Oryzias latipes: one gene and its partners. The protein of the gene in region 3 interacts with the protein of the main gene of each other region in a pairwise test. Links are inferred from orthologs where the notes say so. Each region holds a gene or a part of one and is shown on either strand. Other genes may lie near its edges.

What was found. The genes of interacting proteins can lie anywhere in the genome.
Region 1: the proteins of protein transport protein Sec23A (region 3) and prrc1 interact in binary tests that used the Homo sapiens proteins (3 or more experiments, as listed by UniProt). The two-hybrid records come from large-scale screens. The link is inferred for Oryzias latipes from reciprocal best matches to the Homo sapiens genes SEC23B and PRRC1.
Region 2: the proteins of protein transport protein Sec23A (region 3) and homeobox protein Hox-A3a interact in binary tests that used the Homo sapiens proteins (3 or more experiments, as listed by UniProt). The two-hybrid records come from large-scale screens. The link is inferred for Oryzias latipes from reciprocal best matches to the Homo sapiens genes SEC23B and HOXA3.

Annotation. Positions count from the first base shown.
Region 1 is NC_019882.2:18,550,879-18,556,794, forward strand, and holds the start of prrc1 (protein PRRC1), read left to right. Parts: upstream 1-2,575; 5' UTR 2,576-2,619; intron 2,620-5,671; 5' UTR 5,672-5,692; coding exon 5,693-5,768; intron 5,769-5,916. UniProt on the Homo sapiens protein: May act as a regulator of the protein kinase A (PKA) activity during embryonic development.
Region 2 is NC_019869.2:11,344,473-11,350,223, reverse strand, and holds the start of homeobox protein Hox-A3a, read left to right. Parts: upstream 1-2,410; 5' UTR 2,411-2,541; intron 2,542-5,751. UniProt on the Homo sapiens protein: Sequence-specific transcription factor which is part of a developmental regulatory system that provides cells with specific positional identities on the anterior-posterior axis.
Region 3 is NC_019859.2:30,190,403-30,195,550, reverse strand, and holds the end of protein transport protein Sec23A, read right to left. Parts: intron 4,404-5,148; coding exon 4,245-4,403; intron 4,165-4,244; coding exon 4,049-4,164; intron 3,972-4,048; coding exon 3,848-3,971; intron 3,763-3,847; coding exon 3,682-3,762; intron 3,606-3,681; coding exon 3,516-3,605; intron 3,398-3,515; coding exon 3,291-3,397; intron 3,168-3,290; coding exon 3,014-3,167; intron 2,877-3,013; coding exon 2,799-2,876; intron 2,696-2,798; coding exon 2,534-2,695; intron 2,448-2,533; coding exon 2,361-2,447; intron 2,281-2,360; coding exon 2,059-2,280; intron 1,450-2,058; coding exon 1,360-1,449; 3' UTR 997-1,359; downstream 1-996. UniProt on the Homo sapiens protein: Component of the coat protein complex II (COPII) which promotes the formation of transport vesicles from the endoplasmic reticulum (ER).

The DNA of each region.
Region 1 (5,916 bases), on a different chromosome or scaffold from region 3:
CTGAAAACCCGGAAGAAAACTCAAAGAATCGTCTGGTAAGTATGAGGGATTTAATTCACAGCCAGTGAATGAGCAGACTTGAGGTAAGAGGAGCACCCGTGGAGGTTTTTTCCTGTGGGTGAGCAACGAACTGACTAATATTTAACAAGCACAAGCATATATTGTACCCAGAAGGTGCCTGCTCACACATCGTCTGTACAGTTTTAGCAGTGAAAAAGAATACCCACAGACAAGGCACGGGTGGTGGGTCACCAAAGGCTGACCTTACCCCAGCAGAGGACATGGCCTTGGAGCTAAATAAAGGCAGGCCCGTCTTCGAGGGGATCCCTGGGGAGAAAGAGACGAGCATAGGTTCCTCCCAAGATGCCACCCGCTTCATTCAAGGTATGTCCTTCCATCTCTACATGGAATACAACCACATTCATATTGAATCAGTTTGGACTGTCTGACCCCGGTTTACCTATTGCCTTGCAGTGTCTGGCAGCACTGTGTTCCTGTTAGAGCCACCAGCACAAGCACCAGACTATGCTGATCCAGTGAGTACTCCATCAAAGGCAGACTGTAGGCCTGGCATGTCTTGTCTACTAGCTTCAATATCCGACTAAATGTGATAGGGTGAAAGCCCCAGTGCAGCAGCAACAGCACATGATGGAGACGATGAGGAGGAGGAGACCATCACTCTGGATTCCAGAAGGCATGAGGTATCATGTTAAGACTGTGAAAGTACTTTTCACTCTACAATGGTGAGGTGTCCTCATCCAAATCCAAAAGTCTAATTTCTTTTACAGGACCCAGATGCTATATAGTGGGAAAACCAGCCTGGCAACATAGTGCGTATTAATAAAAGGACACCACATCCTGCCAAATTCCAGCTGCGCTAATTGTATTGTGTTCACAGAGCTCAAAAGCTATCAGAAAGATGTATGGCAACCACCTCCGGCGCCAAATAGAACTGGTAGACGTAGACATTCAGTACAGGAATAAATTTGTCCTGCATTTATTTTAGTGTGCAGACATGCAGGGTGTGTTATGTACAGACCTTTGAATGTGTATGTATCATTTTGTATAATATGCTTTGATTCTGTGCTTTCCATCTTGTAGAGTCACTGTGACTTCAGTTTCGAAAGGAGCTGATAGTTTACCTGCTTTGTTTTGTCCTTATTCAATAAAGGAACATAATGGTACACATTGTGTTTTTATATTCATATGGAATGTGTATTTGTTTATATGACAGAGTACTAGGGCCCCACTGAGGAAAAAGGATAAAGTCATCAATTTATGAAACTGTTGCTTTTCTGCAGAAAACAACATATTCTTTTTACAGTTCTGATAGTTATGACAATGTGATACTTCATATTCTGGCACATCAGCATGTCTTCGTTTATGAAACCATACTGAAGGACAATTTCACGAAATGCCCCACATCTGTCATTTTAACAACTGTCCTCCTTTAAAACAACTGGTTACAATATTATGACTTGTCTTTTTTTTCCGCTCTGTGGCCCTAATATTCTATCATTTTATATATAGCCTTATAGTCTATGGGAAACTGTAAATTATCTAATGATAGCAACATCATCTAAAACTCATTATTTATCCAAAATGATTGAAATTAATGATCACGAACGTTTAAATAATGACAGCGGGTCTAGTTATATGTGATAACAATGTATAGTGAGCAGTGAAATAACTATTGGTTTCCATTTGTGGCGACTGCTGACTGACATTAGGGATGTGATTAAATAGATCCTGGAATTTAGCCTGGTCTGGAGCAGGCTAGCTCCACAGAATAAATCTCCATGGTAATTTATACCATAACATATCCTCCTGCCCCCTATCCAGCTTTAGTGCAACCGGATTGGGGATCAATTGAGCCAGGATCACCAAGATATCCTGGCTTAATCCCGTATCCTACTTTTGTGCAACAGGCCCCAGGTCCTTCTGCAGTAAATTGTTTTGGTAATAAACCTGGGGAAAAGCAAATACCACTATCTACAATAACTGTGTTGATAATAAACTAAAAGAAGTTTCATATAAAATATTACATCAAATGTATCCAGTAAAATTAAATGGAGGAGATTATATAAACATAGATGAGTCTGGAGGTTTTTGTCCAGTAGATTATTGTTTTTACAGTTTTTACACCAGAAGACTTTGGTGGGATGTTGAAGACTTAATTATAAAAAAAAAAAAACTGAATGTAAATATAAGAATTCATATTTTTGAGATCATGTTGTATTTTGAATCATATGGTTTGTTCATGAAATTCAATTTTGTTATTTAATTGGTAATTATTTTAGGCAAATTTCACGTTCATGAGTGTAAATGGTCACATTTACTTAAATCATGTTACAAAACAAAAGAACATTTAAAATCTGAAGGTTTCAAGAACATTTTATTTTTAAAGGAACTGCATTTAAATACATATTTATATGGTAAACCTCTGGTTTTTAATGCACTGTCCTTGTGTTTCCTTTTACATGTTGTTCACAATAAAGTTTTGTTAAAAAAAACGGGTTTCTGCGTAGACTGTTGTTTTTTTTGTTGCGTCCACGCATATCGTCTCAGACAGTGTGGCAGACGTGGCACTACGTCATCAGCCCGCGTCGGAGCTAGCTGGTAGGTGACAGCGTTGTTCTTCGTTTCGTCAGGATAATTATATCTGTTCATGATTTCTTTACCAGAGCGGGTTTGTACAATCGGTTCTCGTGAAATGGATCTGCGCAGCGGCCGAACCGGTTCTGGATCTCCCTGTTTCCTAGAACTAGACTGGGACGTCAAAGGACTTAAAACTCTCACTTGTGACATTTTTAAAACTTAATTTATGAGGCTGAGATCAGAGTCTGTTTTCATTGTTAAAGGAAACCAGCGGGTCTGAACTTCTGCGGCAGAACCGGGCCTTAAAGCAGCCGATCTGCGCCTCTTTCACCCTAAAGTAGAGACCTGCACAAACTGTTTTTTGTAGAATTGTACACTTTAATTGTAAAATCAAACAATAAATTTTTGTTAAAAATAATAATGTTTACAAGAAATTTACATTGCACAAAAAGAGAACATTTCTTCTTCTTTATTTGACTTTTTAGACCTGCAAAAACATTTTTTTAACCTTAAAAAGCTTTTTATGACACAAAATCAAATGCCTCTTTCACTTAAAAAAGATTTCTAAATGTATTTATTCATCCTATATAGGAATTATTCTGACACAAAGTAATAAAAAAAATTGTTTAGCCCGCCTGTTAGTTACTGCTTCATTCTTTTCTTTTTTTCAATAAACTTTATTATTCAACACAATTAGAACAATAAGTATGACAGGAACAATAGTCATAACAACAACAATGTCAGGGGGTGGTACATGTATTACAAAAAGATTACAGATGCTATGAATTGAAAATATTCAAAGACAGACAGTTTTCATAAACATGTATGGCCTTTTTGTTTAAACTATTAGAAATAGTATGTAAATAAGATTCTAACTCTTTAATTATTAAAGACGCACTGCCGTGTCGATGGGCTGCTTTTTGTGGAAATTTTTTTAATGTTGAAAAAAACAGCATCAAAGTTCTATCAACTGATTTAATATTTCTATTTTTCCTAAATGACTGTGAGAAGAGCAGGATAATGCTATCAGACATGAACACAGAAGTCAAATTAACGGAAGAAAAAAACGATAATTTGACCCTCCTAATCAATAACTCTGCTGTTTTCTTGATTGTGTTTGTGGGAGGGGCTCCTGTGACGCCTCCATAGCGGGTTTGGGCCGTCGGCTCCACGTCTGTTTTAGAACAGAGATTTTCAGCTGGACTCTCGTCAGCTCGCTGGTAAAGTCCAGCTTCTTCCAGCTGAGGCGATTCACTAGAGAAAAAGCAGTTGATCCGTTACGTCATCACATCCCAGCTGGATTTCGTAACATTTGAGGTCAGCCCCCCTGACACCGCTGCTCGTGTCCTGGTCCAAACGTGGAAGAGGGTCCACACCGGTTCTGGTTCATGTAAAGGCCCGTACACACCGGGACGAATATTCGCCAGGCGTTATTCGCCAGCGTCTTTCAACATGTTTTTTGTGTTCACACCCAGGCGATTTTCGCTGACGATGAGCCGAGCGAACATGCAATTTCATTCCCTGACATTAGATGGCGCTTAATGTAAAACAGAAATACTCCTGTACACAAGGTGGCGCTGCGCAACCTTAGGCTTCTTAAAGTCGCTTTTCACTCAGAAGAAGAGAGCAAGTATTTACGCGCTTGTCAGAATAATACAAAGAAAACATGAATATTTCAAGCACCAGTAGCTCCAACTGGTGCTTGGTTCGGGGATATTTTAGAATGTCCGTCATTATTTCTTGCTGTGTAGACGCTACTCGGCGTCTATCTTCTTCGCTGGCATGTGTGCTCAGCAAGGCAGTTTTGTGTTTGAGCGCCCCCAAGTTGTGTTTTACTGTAACTTCAGAAGCTCCAGGCATGTGTGAAAAAGCGCCATTCTCATTGGTCGAATAGATTTCGACGCAACGCGTCGAAAAAAACAAACAAACCCGAGGCAGGTTTTTTTTTTTGACGCTTTGACGCGTGGCGTTTTTTCGCGTCGGTGTGCACACTCTCATTGGTGCCCTTTGTTTAGTCACGAGGCGTTAAACGTCAGCGAAAATCGTCCCGGTATGAACGGGCCTTTAGAGTTCACTTTAAGGTTCCTTTGTTTTTTAATGTCTCAGTGATCAGCTGACCCCCGTCTGGCGTTTCTGGTCAGCTGATCACTGAGGTCCAGAAGGACGTGTAGGGGGGGCAGAGCCGTTTCTATCTAAATATTAGACAAGCGTTCAATGTCCAGTTATAAAACGTGGGACTCATTTTTATAGCCAAGCATTTGGTCCCACGTGAGATTTTACTGTTATTTTAAATCTCAAGTTTTTATTGTTTTCCATGTTTTCGTTATTTATTACATTTGTTTTAACAGTTTTTATTAAGTTTAGCTGTTAAAGTGCAGTGCTGTGTTCAATATGAAAGAGGATGAAAAATAGATTAAATCTACAGCATAAATATAACGATTGAAAATACGGAAATGACGAAAATTTGGACATTTGTTTTTTTTAGCCCCAACTTTTAAAGAAGATTTTGACAGACGGATGTTTATTTCTTTGTGAGCAAATAGGAAAATGCCAAAGCAAGTTTCTCATGTTGCTAATTACCCCTCCCACATATCACTTAATGAATTATTTAACATCAGTAACTCCAAAGAAATAGAAAATTAGAATTATTTTTAAGTTTTAATTTTTTAGATTATAGAAAATATTGGGCTTGTTTTAAAAATGTTTAATATTCCCAAATTAAATCATGGAAAATAGATATGAATGAAACAGTTTAAGAATTTATTTTAGTAAATCATTAACTGGTGGTAGATTTGGATTCTAACAGCTAAACGGACAGTGGTATACGTTTTTATTCTAACTGCAAAAATACTGAGCTGAGAGGCGTCCGTCTGCCTTGAACACCTTTACCTTTTGCGACCTTTGACCCAGTTTTCCCAAAGTAACCCATTCATGGCTTGTGATCTTTATTTCTAAATGCATCAAAGTCTTTTAGATTTTCCCCAAGTTGTAGGGATGAACAGGGAAAATGTTTGTAGAATAAATGAACCAGTTGATACTTTTACCTTAACATCCCATAATTCCTTTGTTGCAGTGCAGGAATAAAGCTGAGAAAATGATGCAGGAAAGTGGGATTGAGACGAGACCTCTGGAGAACCTGAGTGCTGCCGTCAGCGGAGCCTCAGCCTCCGGTAAGACGTCTGTCTTTCTACTGGACAAACTTTCAAGAACTTCTTTATTGCTTTGTGTGCAGTTACACACTTCTGAACAGTGTCGTTATTTTACACAGTTGTTTTCCTGCACCTTCATTAACAGTTGAGTACAAACATGCAACCTCAT
Region 2 (5,751 bases), on a different chromosome or scaffold from region 3:
AGCCCGTGAGATACAGCCACAGTCAGTCCACCAGCAGCGCTGGGAACTCTTCTCTGTCACCCCCGCCTGACCCTCTTCCCTGCTCGTCGGTCGCCAGCTCGTCCCCGGTCGCCGAGGCGCAATCCCAACACAGACCCGTCAAGAATTCCTCGGCCGCCCAGTGCTCCAGCTCCAACGGAGGTGCGCTGCTGCTTAGTCGGGACTGTGTGTCCAAAGCTTCCCCTCTGGAGGACGAAAAGGCTGCAGGAAGCGCACCATCAACTCCTCAAAATGCCAGCGACTCAGCACAGCCTCAGATATATCCGTGGATGAGAAAACTCCACATCAGCCACGGTAAACGTTTTCATTGAATAACAAGCTGGTTTTTGTTAAATAGCAGGTCATTACTGAGTCATTTAGGAAGCGTTGCATCGTATAGCAAGGCAAAATGAAATATATTTGCATGGCATGATGGTTTGCAAATCCAAAATTATGGTTTTCACGTGAAAAGCAAATGGCGCCAAAATGCACCATCTCACCTGTTTGATAGTTTGGATTCACTTTTGTCCAAGTACGAGACAATTTATATTTACACCATGCAACGCTAAATGTAACCTTAAATGATTAAATCAATCTCTAAAAATGCTTAATATGTTCTCCACTTTTTTAATTAGCTAGCCAAATCTCAGGATTTAAATGTTAGTTATTTTTTGCTCGTGAACTTTCCTTTTTTTATTTTTAACTTTTGTTTATGATTTTATTGAGGAAATATTTTCATTTTCACTTAATCATATTTATAATAAAATGAATTTGTATAAGTTCAAGCAGCAGAAATTGTTTTTGTTTATTGTAAAAGTCTTTGGTGATTGAAATGTTTTCCTCCCTTTTTCACGCATCAAGATATCTCCGGACCTGAAGGCAAAAGGGCCAGAACCGCGTACACCCGGTACCAGACCCTGGAACTGGAGAAAGAGTTCCACTTTAACCGGTATCTGACCCGCAGACGGAGGATCGAGATCGCGCACGCCCTCTGCCTCTCAGAGAGACAGATCAAAATCTGGTTTCAGAACCGCAGGATGAAGTGGAAGAAGGACAACAAACTGAAAAGCATGAGCATGGCGGCTGCAGGCGGGGGAGCCTACAGGCCGTGATCTCCCTCCAGATAATGAAGAGCACGTACAAAAAATAAATGCAAAAAAAAAAAAAATTAAAAACAGAAATTGCCATATCAACCCTTCTTTCACTTTTGAGGAAAAAAAAGACTTGTTGACTGTGCAGCCGGGGCAGGGGGCACCCCAACTTCTCCATGTCCAGAAAAAGTCTCCATTATATTCCTAAATATAATTTTCTTTAACCCTTCATCGAGTTAATGCTTATGTGGATTCTGTACAGTATTGTCTAGTTTTAGGGGAAAAAAAGAATACGTGGAAATACATGTTTTTTTTAAATTATTGTTTTTGTCCAGGCTGGAAAATAAAAGAAAAAGCGATGAAAGTGGTGCAAACTATTGCAGATATTTCTGTGACAAAGCAAGCTCGCCAGAAGGTTTGCGTTCAGCCTGGATTTCTCTGTATTTACTGTAAAAATGTGTGTATTTATTGGTTTGATGTATTGTACAAAAATCAGCTTCCAGATGTAGAACCAGCATAAAAAAGCCTTTGTGTGGTAGTCGCTGTGAGCACATGTGTGGGCAGAGGTGCATGCCGCCTCACCCTTGTGTGTACAGTAGCTGTGCCTTGTTTTTCTTTGTTTTCCCAGCAGCTTTGTGTTTGAGGTGTTCACCTGGGCGCAGCATCTTAGTAAAGAAACGTGCTTTTGTCTCGCTGTTTTCTGTGTGGACGGTCCCACGGTAAATCCCTGTGCCTGTGTGTAAAACTTCATCGTGCCAAGCTTTTTTGGAAATGTTATTATTTTTGTTCCCTCTTAAAGACTGGAAGTCAAAATATGCTATAAGAATAAAGATGGTCTTGGTAAAAATGGCTGTGATGGCCGCGATAATAAAGTTTTTACTGGAATGAAAACTTCATTGTGAGTTTTTGTAAAGTTTTGTTGTTGTTTTGGTGTTTCAAAAATTTCTAATTTCTTAAGTTAAATCAACAGGTTTCACTTGGAATCATGCTTTGACTCACCTTGCCCTGTGTGCGTGTAAGGCTTCGAGGGCCGTGCGTCCCCAAGCAGACTCGTGTCCTATGTTCTCGAAGAATCAGCTCGACTTTTCTGGCTGTAAACTTTATTAAGGGGTTGATTCTGGCTCCCTGACATTTAGGTGCTAAATGAATGGGGGTTTTGTCTATGAATTAGATCGTAAAAATCATCCGGAGACCGGCCAGATAGGCTCACTGGCCATAAACGGTCACGTGGTAGCCATTAAAGTAAGTTTTATGGTTTTGGGGAGTTGACAGTATATTGCACATAACATATAATCGCACGGAAGGCGAAGCTTCGTCTGAGTCTCCCTTTGCACGCTGGAAGCGATACTTGACCGGTTCAGAGCTTTTTTTCGTGGCGCAAGCTGCGCCAGCGTGGACCGGACGCTTTGTAGGATGGGGAGCGCGTCCCTGGGTGAGTTTCTGCAGATTGGTCGGTAGCCTGGGAACAGCTATCCCGTGTTAAACAGTCGTATTATTGTACTCGCTCCATCTATCCGTCCCTATTAGTCTATTATACTAATTTGTCAGTTGTGGAGTGCTGCATACTGGTCTGGGCAGATGTTGCACAGGGTTGGGTTCGGCTCGTGGCTATTTAATTGCTTCCTTCCCTGCGTAACTGGCTCTCTTCCATCTGTGGTGTAACTCATAATCCATTTTTACATGTTGGATAATTATCTCTGTGTCCATTTCCACCCCCGCAAACTTGTCGTTTTATTACATTGGAGAGTTCACAGAGCATGAGGCAAAAAGTTGCTTGGAGTGTGGGAGAAGATGCGCGTTGCCACAGGCCTGCAGATCTGCAGACCGCAAGAAGGGATTGTTTAGTGATTGTCAGCGACTTTTCAGGCGCGGATAAAGTTGGCAGTAGCTTTGTCGCGCGCTGCACATGTTGGCTGTGAGTTGGCTGTGGGTGAAAGGCTGTGGATTTCGGGGTTGGCTGTAAACAGTGTCGAGTAAACACAACACGGATGAAACAGCAGAAGGGAAATGTTTGAAAGGAATTCCCTTTTGTGTCGAGCCAGTCTTATTGTGTTTGAGGTTGAAAAGTTCAAATGACATCTCAAAAACTCACTCTCGCTTTGTGGTGACCTCTTGTCCGCGCGGCCAGGGGCAAAGCCGGCCACCAGCGGACATAGGTAACAAAAGCGCGAGTGGACAAAGGCATAAGTTGTGCAAAAATATTTGTCCAGAAACGTTTGTAATATCTCTTAGCATATTTGCTAGCGTTACACCAGGAGACGTTTTGTCTATGCGCATCCTTTTTCAACCCAAATGCGCACAAAAAGGTTTAAAAAAAACTGAACATTTCTTTAACGTTATATTTTGGAATAGTAAAAGGATAACCAAATCGGAAAAACTTTTTGAATGTAATGGCTTTATTTTGACGAGGGATTTCTCCTTTTTTAAATACATTTTTAGAATCAAAATTAACGGAAAAAAACACCCACCACCAAAGTTATCTGTTAAAATGTTCAAATGGTGGGTGGAAAATGAAAATCTGAGTTGATTCAAGATCCAGATGTGTTTTTTTGTGTATCTTGAAATGGTTTAAATTTATTCTCTAATCAAAAAACTCACTAAATAGCCAAACAGGTTTGAATTTTGAGCATCTTTGCTTTACGATATTTTTCATCAACGATCCTAACAAGCAGAATTCAACCCTTTAGGATGAAGTTTGAGCCCTAATGAAACAGGATGTTCCATGTGTGCAAATAGTTGGAACTGGAACCCTTTTGCCAATATTTCAGAGGGAGACGTTTCGACAGGGCCCCATGTGCCGCGCATTGCCGGCAGATAGAGAAGGGAGGCTGCGCAGGTTCATCGGGAGGTCAGCCGCAGCAGCAAGATAAATCTGCATCCTCTCGGAGCCACCAGCAGAGCTCGCTTTAGGCCAAGTTCACTGTCACTGCAGCAAAAAGGCAATAGTACGCGCACGTGAACAGATAGCAGCGTGCGTCTTCATGTGTATTTTGTGGATTAAAAAAGATGCGCAATAATGAACCCCAGGACATACTAGCACTTTTAGAACAGACAGCGCTACCAGATGAAAAAAAAAACTGTTTTCTCCAACAAACTCTTTTGGTTGCTCCGACTTAAATGAGTGATTTGCATATTTTATGGTTCTGCCGCTCCTGGGTTGGATCCATTTCTCTTTTCTGTGTTTGGAAACCTCACTAAAAGACGATCGCATCTTTTTGCTGGCATCTTATCAAATTTGTGAAAACGATCATTGTCGCACAAAGAGATGTACACGTTGTTAGAATCAACTTTTCTCATGTGGAGGAGAGGTGATGGTGGGGAGGAAGGGGAGGCATGGCAGACATCTCTCCGGGCTGGGGCTGATGAGAGCGAGATAGCAGCAGAAGAGGAGGAAAAATTGGGGTCAAAAGTTTACGCACTGAACAAGTCTCAGTCATCTGTTCACTCAGAGCCTGATGCCAGCTTTATAATAGGGATCTTGACTCTCCACACAAAAGGCAGAATAGCTTTGCATTACATATGTTGCACGGTGCACTCCAGGTGAACCCTGGAAGCGCGATGACCTCGCGTTTGGGACCGGGGGGGGGGCAACAAGATTGAGTGGCTTGCGTTTTATTAGGGAGGTTGATTGGTGAATTTCCTTTGAATAAATTGCATTTGATATGTTTAGGGACCAGGGCAAAATTTGCATTTTGAGGATTGATACTCTCGACCCTGTCAGAGTATTGGGAAGGCCCACAGCCCCCTAAATGAGCCCCCGGATCCCTTAAAAATCGTTTAGCCCCTTTCTTCCTGTTCAGCTCAATAGAAGCCTTTTAAAAAGAGGAATGTCCCAGATGTTTTGGTTATTTTAGAAAAAAATGTCAGAAGATATTTCTGCACAAACATATTTGATTCAGTAATACTATTTTTTTGTCTCATGAGGCCTTTTCCCTTTTGACAAACGAAAATAAATACATTTAAAAAAGTGAACCTTTAAAATTGGCTCTGGAAAAAATAAATATTGTCTTAAAATAAAAATGATAACAAGGGAGATGTTAAATATTGTCTTAAAATAAAAATGATAACAAGGAACATGTTAAATGTCAAACATTTGTAAAAATGAAATATACAAAAATGAAAGTTAAAACTTTTTTTATTACAATGCAAATTAGAATAAAACATAAATGGAAAAAATACAAACATACTGAAATGTTCCACATCACAATAACTATTACATTTTTTAAATCTTTTATTTGGGACAAAAAATGTTTATTTGTTTGTGATCCAGATTTTCCCAGTTTTTAAAAGCCTACAAAGTACAGAATTTACTGATGGGATTAAAATGTAATATTTTACATTTCAATGCACCTTTTTGTGTAAACATTTAACTCTTTGTAATAAGTTTGTAACACATCAAAGGCTGCATTCTGTTGCTTTGTTGGGCCTTAAGTGATAGTAAAATGTTCTGTCACACTTTAGTCATAAAACAAAGTATACTGATTTGGTAATCTATTACTTTATTTTTTATTAACCAAGATTTTTTGTCCTCCTTTGCTTCAAATTCTCTCATTAGTTTGATTGTGTTATTAAGTGTCCAAGCGCCTTAGCACTGTCAAAATCTGCTCTTTAAAGTATTCAATCTGCACAATAAGTCAATTTG
Region 3 (5,148 bases):
TGCAGCTTTGCCAAAGCCGGAGTAGAAAAAACCGCAAAGAAATGAAAATGTTCTGATTGTGTGAAGCTCAGGATGCAGCAAGTGAGCCCAGCAGGTCAGCCAGCTTTTCTCTGTATGAGCTGGACTCACTGAACTCCTGTGCAAAAGCTTGATGTAAACTGCAGAATGTGTGAAGAAAAGTGCTGCTTTTTGGTATTGTGCACATGATGCGTGTAAAAAAAAACCTCCAAAGTTGTCATGCTGCATCTTGTGAGTTTCTCCTGGAGCATATGTGGCTTCAGAGCGCGGCACAGTGAGGCCTAAGCTCTTCATCGTCGCCGTAGACCTCATTTCTATTTCTGCTGCAAGTTCTGCTTAAAGCTGATAAGAGTAGAATTTGCCTTTTAACACGTAGCCCTGAAGGATTAGTCTTCATAATCTGTCACTCACTGATCCTCGAAATCATACTGTCTGCTCTGGAATCAGCTTACAGTGATGCCTGCCGCCGCCTGTTTTGATTGTGTGTCATGTGGGCTTTACATCTGCAACCAAAGCCAAGGAAACATCGCCATTGTTTGGGGATATTGTTGCCTTCATGCAGTGTTGTGACAAAATGTTGCAATCTCTTCCTCACAGCAGTTTCTGTTGCGGTCAAAAGGACAGAGAAGCTGCTCTCCATCTGCTGCTTTTACAAAACAAGTGGATTTTTAGGAGGAATCTCGGCCTCAAAGCATAGACTGCTTGCTCTATGTTAGCAGCTCTCTGTACGCGCTTCATGGAAAAACTGGTCCCTTCTTCAGCCTCCTTTGATTACAAAGACAACAAAGATCACCGAGGGCAAAACAGCAGATGGTCATCGAGCAGAAAATGAACCCAAACGGAAGACAAGCAGCCTCAGCTCTCAGCTGATTGCCTGCAGACATGATCCTTGGTAAGCTGGAATCTTCCTGGAAAACACTGGAAGTATGGTCCTTGAAGGAACTTTAATGTCCGTCAAATGAAGGAGTAATCATTAGATTGAGGGAGCATTCGAGATGCAATCATAATTTATTTGTTCAAAAACATTCTACATATCATTTTCAGCTATGGACAAAGCAAACATACTCAGCAGACACTCATTTAAGACAAACATCAGTCTGGTCGCTCCAGACTTTCAGAGACACCTTTGTTAGCTTCATACACTCACATAAATATGTTTTCCTCTATGAAAATGTATTTCTTTACAGGAACCTTGTTATGGACCCCACAGGCCACAATAGAACAAAGTGAGAATCGATTTAGTACAAACAGACGACTGTGTGAGTCTGGCTCGTTCACAAAAATCAGGGAAATGTCGATGGATCCTGAAAGCTGAACGGGAATGTGGCGTTCCTCTTGTGTTTACGCCGAGCTGGAAACTGCCAGCTTCTTCAGGTGGTCCATAAAGACCTGCAAGCTGACGTCGTCGGTCAGGATGGGAGCCCCCGACTCCTGCAGGAAGAGAGGAAAACACGTCAACTCCAAAGCAAACACCACGATCCACGGCAGGAAGGGAGCAGAAATCCCACAACCCCCACAGGCATCCAGAGGATTCCTAACATCTTCCAGACTTTTGGTTGACCAAGCCCAGACAGGATCCGTGAATGCTTGGGCCTCGGCAGACGTTTGACGCATCCGTTTGAATTCAACGAGGAAGCTAAACCTTCACTGTCACACTCAAGTCTGTTTTTTCCAAAGATATCCCATTTACAATAAATAATTCCCAAAAGCCTTTTTCCTCAGATGTGGCTTTTGAACATCAATTTTAAAAACAACATTAAATGGTCTCCATGCGCTTTTAGGCTCATCTCTTGACCGTCTTTTTTCGAATTGACCTCTGAGGTTTTTTGTTTTGTCCTCCTTTTTGTTTGTTTTTAACTTCTCCAGTCATCTCAGCTTTAATTGAGTCACCTGCGAGCTTTACCATCGACTTCTGCCATCGGCTTTCATTTCTGGCTCTGTTTCAAATATGTTCAGGATCCAAAGACACCCGGAAGCCCCGCCCCCTCTGACGAAGTGTAAAGCCTTAGACAAACAGATGTGTGTGCCGTGAGCGCGCACCTGTCCCCACGCGTAGAGGTTGTTGTGCGTCTGTGATGGGTTGACTTTGGAGAGCAGGAAGCGTGCCTGCGAGCCGCCGTGCTCAGTGTTGATGTAACGCGGCATGGGGAAGCGTGTCTCCAGGATATCGTTGGCATCGTCCTGTGGAGCCTTGAGGAGCTGCTTGAAGTTCTGGTACTCGGGCATTTCCTGGTAGCCCGCCTTCTGCCACTGTGCAATAGTCTGTAAAACAAAACACACACGCTGTAAGTCTAACGCTGTGCTAGTTTGAGCAAAATGGAAGCTGAAGGACAAGGTCCCACCTCTCCGTTGTAGATGACCAGCTGAAAGAATGTGTCCATCAGCAGGATGCGGTCCGGCAAGATGCTGCTGCTGTCCAGGAGCACGGGCTGTGAGAAGACAGGGTCACAGGGTCAGGACTGGAACAGAAGCCCCGGTGGGAGACTTACGGATGGGTGGGGGGAGCGAGGCTGACCTCTGGTGGTCCGTGGAAGGAGTACGAGTACAGGATGGGCTGAATCATGATGAGGGACTGGGTTAGGTCCTGCCTGGTGAAGTGATGCCTGTAGTAGGACGACTCATCGGGGCTGTTGTTGAACACCTGCAGGAAGGGCGACCTCCGCAGGTGGAACATGAACTGCAGGGGGAGGGACAACAAACGTAAACGCTGGTAATGGAAAAACCAACCAGACCCAGTGTGAGCCTGTTTACCACCAGTGGCCACTAGAGGGCGGACTTACCTGTGGGTACAGAGACAGGGACTCGGAAAGCCTAAACGATGTGGGATCTTCTTTGTTGTACTGCCCAAACTTCTGACACTGAGGGATGAAACGTTGCTTGAATACCCAGCATTCCAATCACAATAACATCAAATACCAGCATGAAGGCGGGGCCGCTGCTTCAAAGCCTCAGCTATGACAGATATGCATCCTCATTCTTGAGCAGAATTACTCACCAGGCGAATCAGCTGCCTGTCCAGCCAGCGAAGCACATCGGGGCCCTCTTCTGACTCCGCCCTGAAGACCCCCAGGCGAGCCATGAGCACGGCGGCCGCCTCTTGGTCAAACGAGGACTCAATGTGCTGAATCTGAGACTGCGCATCGGCCCAGCTTAGGGAGGGGGGCAGAAAGAGGCAGGAATGAATACAGGTGTGCCTGTGTCGATACAGGTGTGTCGACGTTGACCCAGTTTGAAATCACCTGAAAATGATTAGGAATTTAAAAGATTCTTACTTCCTGGTGATGGTGGTGACCCGTATCCTCTTCTGAGTGTTGGAATGCTGATACTGCGTGACAAACTGGATGGCCCCTCTGCCCCCCTGGGGGATGGGAGCGTTGTGCTACAAAAGACAAAACAGAAAAACCCAGTTTGACCTCATTCCTGCCTTTTAGTGCAGAGAATCCAGATCAGTTCAGCTCTCATCCTGAAATGAGCTTCATGATCAAAGAGACGTTTACCTGATTCACAACTTCAAGGTAAATGCCCAAAGTAGAGGAGGGGGTGAGGCTGCACATCTTCCACTGGTTTGTTCCCCCAATGCCCATCTCCTACAGAAAACAAACACTGATGAGTGACAGCTCAGGGTGAGGGAGGGGTCCACAGTGTAACGTGGGAGGGGCTCACATTCTCTGAAACATAGGGTCCCTTTGAGTTGAGGGAAACGCAGGGTCCGATGGCGCCGCAAACCTTCAGTTCTCTGGATGTCTGTAAAGAGACAGCTGGCGTCAGCTCCTCTGACGGACGGGAAACATTCTGCCAGGAAACGACGGCGAGCAAGCGACCTCTTTACCTTGATCTCCAGAACGCCACCAAAGGCCATGCGGAAGTCTCCGTTGTGGTCCTTACTGAAGACTCCCTGGAAGGTTTGTGTGAAGAGCGAGGTGTTGAAGGAGTCTCCCATGACGATGTGGCCGCTAAAAGAGACACAAGCTTTATTGCCCCCGCTCAGGGTAGAAGGTTGGACGCTGGCAGACGGTGAGAGTGGACGTACCCGGTGAGATTGGACAAACACTTCATCTCCAACAGTCCGGTCTGATCCAGAGCGCAGGCGTAGATGTCGATGGAGTGGCCGTTGGCCGCCGACCTGTTGCCCAGAGCCTCGTAGAACTGTGGAGCATCAAGAAACGTCAGGAGACGAAGGGACTCGTTTTCCCCAAAAAGAAGAAAAGCTCTTGAGCTTTTGTCACCTTTGTGGCTTTCTTTAAGTGTCGTGCGTTGTCTTTCTGGATGTCGTGCCAGGAGCGGATGGGAATCTTCAGCTCGTCCCCCACCACCATGCCCGGACCCTGGGTGGGCGGCCCGCCAACAAAGAGCATCACGCGAGCCCCCGTGTTGGGGAACGTACCCTGAAGGTGAGACGGGAGCAGATTTAAGTCCTCCGCCTGCTGCTTCACATCACAGATTTGACTCCAGTTGGAGCAGCATTCTTATAGAACGTGACACGTTTGTGATTCCAAACATTGTTCAACGACATTCCTCTGCTCTGGACTTGCGAAGAATGCAGCTGAAAGGGAGGCAGCTACAAAGCAGGCAAAAGCCGACGACAGCGCAGGAGTCTGGGACAACAGTCCCGTTCTACAGCGCAGGAGTTTGGGACAACAGTCCCGTTTTACAGCGCAGGAGTTTGGGACAACAGTCCCGTTCTAAAGCGCAGGAGTCTGGGACAACAGTCCCGTTTTACAGCGCAGGAGTTTGGGACAACAGTCCCGTTCTAAAGCGCAGGAGTCTGGGACAACAGTCCCGTTTTACAGCGCAGGAGTCTGGGACAACAGTCCCGTTTTACAGCGCAGGAGTTTGGGACAACAGTCCCGTTCTACAGCGCAGGAGTTTGGGCAAACAGTCCCGTTCTAAAGCGCAGGAGTCTGGGACAACAGTCCCGTTCTAAAGCGCAGGAGTCTGGGACAACAGTCCCGTTTTACAGCGCAGGAGTTTGGGACAACAGTCCCGTTCTAAAGCGCAGGAGTCTGGGACAACAGTCCCGTTCTACAGCGCATGAGTTTGGGACAACAGTCCCGTTCTACAGCGCAGGAGTCTGGGACAACAGTCCCGTTCTAAAGCGCAGGAGTTTGGGAAAGTACAGCACAGAGTGGT